Bombyx mori: one gene and its partner. The protein of the gene in region 1 interacts with the protein of each later gene in a pairwise test. Links are inferred from orthologs where the notes say so. Each region holds a gene or a part of one and is shown on either strand. Other genes may lie near its edges. The genes, in order: MCAK and interferon regulatory factor 2-binding protein-like A.

Evidence for each region.
Region 2: the proteins of MCAK (region 1) and interferon regulatory factor 2-binding protein-like A interact in a two-hybrid assay, tested with the Caenorhabditis elegans proteins (2 studies listed by BioGRID). The link is inferred for Bombyx mori from reciprocal best matches to the Caenorhabditis elegans genes klp-7 and ifbp-1.

Annotation. Positions count from the first base shown.
Region 1 is NC_085111.1:18,675,856-18,679,687, forward strand, and holds part of MCAK (kinesin-like protein a), read left to right. Parts: intron 1-1,382; coding exon 1,383-1,576; intron 1,577-2,835; coding exon 2,836-2,940; intron 2,941-3,832.
Region 2 is NC_085124.1:13,141,480-13,145,883, forward strand, and holds the start of interferon regulatory factor 2-binding protein-like A, read right to left. Parts: upstream 3,086-4,404; 5' UTR 1,560-3,085; coding exon 893-1,559; intron 1-892.

The DNA of each region.
Region 1 (3,832 bases):
TAGATAGATATGATCTCTCGGCAGAAAGCCAAGTCCGCCAAATACTCATTGACCTAAAATACCAAATAAAATCAAATAATGTCGCATACAAGAATACAATCTGCGGTAGATAAATCACCTGCAGTAGATAAACGTTTGAACCACGCTATTATCGTCATCATTTGCTTTGACTTGACTTTTCACAACACACCTGGTGTGAAGTGGTTACCTGGACATGAATACTGCCATTCGTCTTGAGACTTTAGCTGGAAGTCTTAATTCAACCACTGTCCTACTCTTTGAATTAAAACGAATTCTTGCTTCATTATAGTAAAAGACTGTGATGGAACCTAACTGTATGTGCTATTTGTGTATCCACAATATGAATTTCCAGAAAAAATGCAAATTAATAATAAATTTGCGGTTTTTGTTAATTTCACGATGTTATTCCCGCAGCCGTCTAAGAGAACACGCGGTAATAGAATCATTAGAATTTGTCCTCATTTTTACAAGAATTATCTCCTCCTCCTTGCGTCGATAGTCCTCAATCCTGAGGGTCGTGGCCTCATGAGGCTTTCTTGGAAAAATACACATGGTGGGTTCCCACGTCCTACCACGGCAGTGCTTTTGGAAGTGATTTAGCTCTTCAAGGCCGCTGAAGCCTTATTTGGGTTCGGCTAATTAACCGCCGCCAGACATTCGGCGTTGACGTTTTACGGTGGAAAGGTCGAACTCCAACTCAACCCTCCTCTTTTCCAATCCGGGCTTGGGACCGCCATTGGCAGAGTTCTGGCAAGAATTATCTACAAATAACGAAAAAATACTTCGATTAAAATAACAAAAAAGAAACTATATAAGACCCTGAATTGATTTACTTTCTATCTTTTTGCTATTGTGGCGGCTGCTTATCTATTTGCTATTGTGACGGCTGCTCAAACAAAACTAAAGACGAATGAAGAACAGTGTTCACGGAAGGTCACAGCCGCATATTATTCTCTGTCCACACATTCCGCACGGAAATGCAAGGTCCCGGGGGCCGTTTCACCTTGATGTGCTATACTGTGCATGTTCTTATCAGTAACCCTGATTTATATCTATCTCAATTTACTACAACTAATTATTATCAACCCAATTTGCTCTGCTCGTTATTTTAATACGAAGCTAGTAACGCTGTCTTGTATATTTTAGCTACAAAATAGTCATGCTTTCCTGGTTTAAGTGTGCGATATCTTTTGTCGAAGTGCATAAAGGTGCATTAAATCATTTACTGTCTACTGTGACTTACTCGTCATATATAATGACCAGTTTAAACTGGCTAAAAAGATTATCGGCTTGCATTAGCAAATCTGTATGTGTACGTAATATATTTACAATGTTAATGATAGTAAAATGTAATGTTTCAGGTCGGGTCCATTCTGCGATCGTGGCCTCAGTTAACTTGGAGACGCGCTCAGTTGCTGTGGAATGGTTCGAGCGCGGCGAGACCAAGGGCAAGGAGATCGAGATAGATGCCATCCTAGCGCTGAACCCTGAACTGGCGAGTGGGCCGCGGCACCACACTCCGCACCTGCAGCCGATGCCCAACAAACTAGCCAGGGTCTGTTAGCTTTTCCATTTATGATACCTTGGTACCGATTAGTTAACATTTACAACTAGTGCGATGTAGTAGTAGATTATGTTCAAAGTACAACGATTTAGAGTCGATGGCCGCACGCAATGTGCATTGCTGCTACGTAGGATGCCGATTTATCAATTTAAAAGTCGTTTAGTTTATAAATTATAAGTGAGTCATTTGTCCAGATACATGATTTCATTACGGAGATGCCGACTAAGATAGTGCGTACCTACGCCAATCTTTTGTTCTTGAAAACATTACCTCATTCGTATACGTTTATTATTTATAAAGTAATCAGTTAGCATGTAGGTTATGCATTCATTTTGATTAAAGAACAACCTCGCATTCACTGGATCTCGGTTTGATTGGCGCATCGGAACCTAGCTCAATAAATTCGTCCATCGATAAGGATGACCCTCGGAAAGCTGAAAATGATATAACTGCAGAATCTATGCTCGCTTTCACGATTAATATTAATCGATTTCGAATTTTAGTGAAAAATCGAAAGCCATTATCGATTCGCGAGTGCGAGTCGAACGCGTACCAAGCCGCGATCACTCTCATTGTTTGGGTCGCTAAGAACGTTGCTAATCGACGCCACGCTACAGTTGCACCTCTAGTATCACGTTAGACGAATGTGCGCTTTGTTTGTGGCGCCCCGGTTACCGCTCATCAGCTTTATATTTTTAATCATGACGTCAGCATCGGAGCCGGTCATATAGCGATCAATCGTGCGTGGTGTGGTTAGAAACTCGACACTATCAAGTCTCGGCCACCGCAAAATCATCGGAGAAAATGTAGACATGTTCCCTTACATCATCAGTTGGCAGGTGATCACCTAGAAGCACTGTAGTTAGAGCTTGTTTATTGTTATTAAATAGTTTGGTTACCAAGGCGACGCTGCTGTTTGCTGACGCGCAACGTTAAGCACATGTTGCAGCTAGTTGACAAGACTAATCGATGAGGCCGCCGGGCACGCTCCGAGTCTAGTGCGTGGACAGCAAGTAGTGGACGCCGCTCAATGACAATGACTGATAGATAGTTGTGAACGACCTTCCACCTGTGTGCCCACCTGTGACGCACGCCGGTTATCGATTTTCATAACACCAGCATTTCAGTTTCACTTTCATTACGAACTAGACGGATGGAAATCGACGGAGCGATCAAGTGTCCCGATACAAATTGAGTAAGTGCAGCACAGTAACCATGATGTATGACCGGCACGTGTGTATTTGACGAAGGATCCGTCGGGCTCCTCTTCGGACGACGGCGGGTTCCTGCAGGAGGGCGGCGAGGGCGAGGCGGGAGACTCCGGCCACACGCTGCCCGTGCGCAACTCACGATCGGTACTCACCCTCACGCACGTTCCACGCATACATACGCACGTCGACGCCCCGGAGCGGACCGACATTTTATTTTCTTTCACATTTTTCGGTTGTTTTGCTCCACGATCTATGATTTGCACACGTTCGGCTTGTTATGGTGTTTTTGTGGAACGTGCTTTTGTCACTGATCGACGATGGCGATCGGTTACGGTCGCTCGTCGTGCCCCTGACAAAACCACGGTCCATTTAGTGTTTGTATTGTGCTGTATTACATTTGCAACGCAGTCTATTCGTTTCCGATCGATGCCGCCATCATTCGATCTCCGTTTGTGTTCACCTGTTTACGAATAAAGCTTGATTTGGACATCATCAGTGACATCATGTCCGCGATGAATCACCTTCCCACGACGTCGGGCGACGACGCTTCTTTTAGCCGATATTTTATTTCTCGCCAAAGAAAAACGCAAATGACCCCATTGAGATTGCCTATTTCGGTGTAATTTATTGTATCGATTTTTGGACAAGCTTTTTCTCGGTAAATGCATGTGTTTCGAAATGTCATGTAATTATTGGAAAAGATGTACCACGGGAATGTTTAGTGTTGAGCTTAAATACAAATATGTAATACCATTATGAACCCAGGGAATTACGACACGACCGACAACTACAGATGATATTGGTCTGTCTGACTATTTATCAGAATGTACAGTGTGGTATGGTAATGTGTCTCCGGCCTTCTCATGCGTCCGTAGTAATGACATCATGACAAATGGTGGGTAGGGAGTCCGCCTATCACCGTCCTGGCCGTTTCTGGCACCGACGTCACAGTGCCATGAAGACTTCGATTGTATCTCAATTGGTGGCGACATCCACACTGGTGCTCTTGGGCTCCGGTGACAACATAAGTAGCAGG
Region 2 (4,404 bases), on another chromosome or scaffold:
CCTGCCTACATACGTACGCGAGCGAAAATGTCGTCACGCGACGTTGCCACACCGTCGTGTCGTGCATGCATTCACGCCGCGATCCGCGTTTACATTACGTGGGTGTTTGTACGTAGCATTGTGGTGCGAGAGGCCGCGGGCTCGCTTTCGAGAACGCTCAACTAGTCCGACCGGTTTCGTATTTATGGACTGTGTTAATGCACCTACCTAGATATCATTCCCGAGGCGGACGCTTGCGCAAAACATCTACAGTCATTATGGGAGCACGTTCGCGTCCGCTACAATCATTAATGTTATCATCATACAGCTCGTATATTTGTAACATTTGAAATAAGCAACCGTTTCATAAATACTGGTTGCGTGTTATTTGTAAACAATAGTTTAATTCTGTTTTGTAATTATTATGCTGAATTGTAATTTTCGTACTGAAGTTAGTTAGTAGGTATTTCAGAATCTACAAATATTTTTAGTCGTTAGTTTAAATCGGTTATTCCTTTAAATTTAACGTTGGTAATTCTTTTACATTATTACATTTTCATAATCATAGTGTTTAAACAATCATGTAAATATTGAATTGTACATTGATAACAATCCAAACATAAAAAGAATAGGCAGTAAATAGTAAATGTTCTATTCTAAATTGTAATGTCTGTGCATTTTCCAACAGTTTTTTGGCATGGATAAAATTTCAAATATAGAGGAGCATGCATGCTATGAAAATTAATAATAATAATTTGTTAATCAAAATACATACATTTTGCAATTATTCTACACACAAAATGTTTTTTTAATTTATTTTTGTATAATGAAATCGGTTGCTAATTGTTTTTAATGCATTTAAAAAATCGCGAATTAGGACCGGGTTTCCTATGAAAAAAAAAAAAAAACTCACCATTCGTTTTAAACGTAGTTCCATCAAAAGAAGGAGTACGGAGAGGATGTTTCTCTTGTTTGAAAACGCGATCTGGCGCGAAAGGAGCAGCTAGTGATACTGCTGGCAGTGAATCACCACGGGTTAGAGGCGGCCGAGAGTGTTCTTCTAGAAGTCTTTTAGCTGGTTCGTGATGCGACTGATGGTCATCATCATCCATTGGTCGTTTTAAAGTGAGACCAGGAGCAAGACGTGCCCCTGCATGTGCCGGAAGATGATGTGTAGGTAAATGGGCTAGTCGTCTACCCTCATGTTCGTCTCTTCGGCTTCCATATTCAGCCAGAAGGCCTGCACTAGCCGTAGGTCGTGGATGGTGTAACGTAAAACCAACCGTCGGTGTATGGTGAGCTGGAGGTGCAGGTTGTCCTCTTGTTGTTTCTGCTCCATTTTGATGGGCTTCTAAGGGCGTACGATGTGCTCCTTTTGCATGCGACGGACCACGACCTTCTTGGAAACCATGAGCGCGTTTTAGTTGTCTAGCTGTTTCTAGAACTACTTCGATTCGATCGGCGCCCTCGTAATTTACACACCCTCGACACACTGCTTCTGAAAACTCATGCAACATTGCCCACGGCATGCGGGGCAAGTCGCAGAGGTAGCAGTGTTGCCGTTTCTGCATCACCGACATCTCGCCGCCGGGTGTAGTGCGGAGTGCGAGAGATCGGTTTTCTTCGTTTCTCTTGAAAATTGTCACTGATTTATTATGCCTTCGGGAAAAAACACTGTCACCATGGTAGTCACAAATAAAAACACAAAACTTCACATTCGACTTCGCGGACGACAGTTGTTTGTTGCCACTACATAAAAGACACTAGCTTCTTTAAGAGGTCGAGGAAAGACTGAGCTTCGGCGGCGTGTGTGTGGCGGGGGGGCCGGGCGCGGCAGCCATTATCGAGCGGTGACGTCAGCGCGCGCAGCACCGCCACGCCACCGCGACGAGGACGAGCCGTTAGCCGCGACGCGGATGCGCCACTCGTCCCGACCCCGACGACGCGCTTATCGCACGATAACGACGAACCCGTCTAAATACGCATTGAAAAAAGCAATGAGGTTACCTACTCAATTTTTCGAGAGTTCAATGGTGTAGTAAAGGTAGGTAGGTGCCCTACTCTATATTAAAGTACCTACTTATTATTGGCATAGATTAAGATTTCTAGCCAGTCTTAGGTACCTACTTAATAGGAAATATACAAAAGCGTATTCACGTAGCCATAAATTAAAGTAATCAAGCTATTAATAGGTATTAAATTCTTTAAATTAAATATTTAACGCAACTGCTTATTTACAAAAGCGTATTCACGTAGCCATATCTTAATATGGTAATCAAGGTATTATTATCAAGTTCTTTAAATGAACTATATAACGCAACCGCTGTTTACGTCAGTTTAATTAGAACCACCTATAAATGAATCACACAGTCGCCATACATACTGACACGGCCACGACCCTTTATTCATAGTCCGTGTTATTCAACGAAAGTAAACAGCGTGTTGTAGAATAACAATTAGCGTTAAAATATAACGTAGACACGTCCGATACATTAAATTTCAGTATATTCTCTCCCATCTATTCTCGGTCGGTTTCCTTTCTGACGGCTGCATTCTAAATTATTATTATTACTACTACCAAGCGACTGGATAGGATCCGGTTGGCGTGGAAGCGGGGGGACGCGACCGGTGTGTCGGCCATCTTGAGACGTGACGTCACGTGACGAGTCAGCCGAGCGTGCAGATCGGCAACGTCGCACCGTTCACTTTGCCTTGTTGCCGCTCATTTTTGTTGTGCTTAATAATAATGGAAACAGCTCTCATCACTTTTTGTATGCAGCCGAGGATCGGAGAAAAAACAGTTATACGGCCAGGTAAACGTGAACGGTCGACAAGAACGATTATATCGCTTATAATAAATTAACACGTTTTTGAGTTTTAACGTTGTTCTAAATACGTCATTTTGTAACACAATACCTGAATATGGTCATACTTTGTGTACTTTTAGTGACCGAATATATATCGTTCAGTAATGTGAACTGCAGTTTGATTTCAGCCATCACTAAAAAAATCATTAATTTAACATATTTATTCCACAGACGGATTGCAAAATTAAGTCAACGTATTCTGTATCCACTATCTTCTATCAGCGATTATATCAGTGTCTACTATACATTTTATACTCATCGTTATTATTTGCAATTACTCGTTTAATTCATCCACCATTCATTTGTCTTTCTGCACTCCTATTTCTATCTATATTTTTACATGGATACAATTCTCCATTTTTGATAATATTCCCGTGATACCTACGTAGTACGTATTTATAAGAAAACTTTGTTTAGTGACTTATTTATAATATGGCATCCTCCGTGAAATGTGACGGTTGCTGGTGGTAAGGTCATCTTGTCAGCCTATTCGGATTGGTACTATCGTCCTGTCTATTTTTGCCGTGAGACAATTATACGATTCGGTTTAAAAGATGGGCCGCTGCAATTCGCAGCGTTACACTTCATTAAGCATGTAACTCAAAGCAGAAAATGCTTTGGGTTCCGAACCCCGAAGGCCTGTAGTATCCAAAAACGGACATTACGTTAATAGTATTGCTGTATTTGTAGTAGAAAACAAGCTTATTACAGTACGTCCACTGTACAAAATCATTAAATGCTTCATACAAGCAGTGCGATCCACATTTGCGCATATAGAAACAAAAGACAAAGCCTTGATTGACTCTGAGGAATAACGGAAATCGATTATGAGAAAACGCAGGCAACATACACTGTACGAATGATTCAACACTTCTAATTCACTGGATAGATAATCAAACACCCGGATAGCAATTTGAAATTTCAGTGTTCATTGTTATAGACGGTAATACATTGGCGGCATTGGTCAAACTGTTGAAAGCATATAAGCGAGTAATCAATATATTATTCGGAATACTTGGACAATCAAAGTCAAGCCTATCTATTGCTACTAACCTGTTATGCTAGTTTTACCGAAAGTGACATATAATTTTAATTATCGTCATTTATTATTAGCCAGATGACATGGAAGAAGGCTTGGGCATTGTCTTGAACCATTCAACACAGAACATAGATGTGGCAGCTGATATTGACAGTAAAATCACGAGACTTTGGAACGAAACGGTTTAAAACGTCAATTTTATAAAGTTCGGACAAAAACTTAATTGAAATCGTGTTATCCAAGTGTAGAAATATTTACTGGAGTTTGATGAACTGTAGCGTCAAAGCTCCATTTCAACATTAAAACGAATTAAAAATGTGTCCAGAAATACAATGGAACATAATTTGAATTACCTCACTATAATGAATATAGTGTTATTTCTGAATTTGCACACACTAAATCAAGAAAAGTCTATATGTTAATGTTCTGTTTTCTTTACATTAATTTTTTTTCAGAAGGAATGCTATTTAAGGGCTTTATAATCATATACATATACTTTAGGTTTCGGGCTGGCCGTAT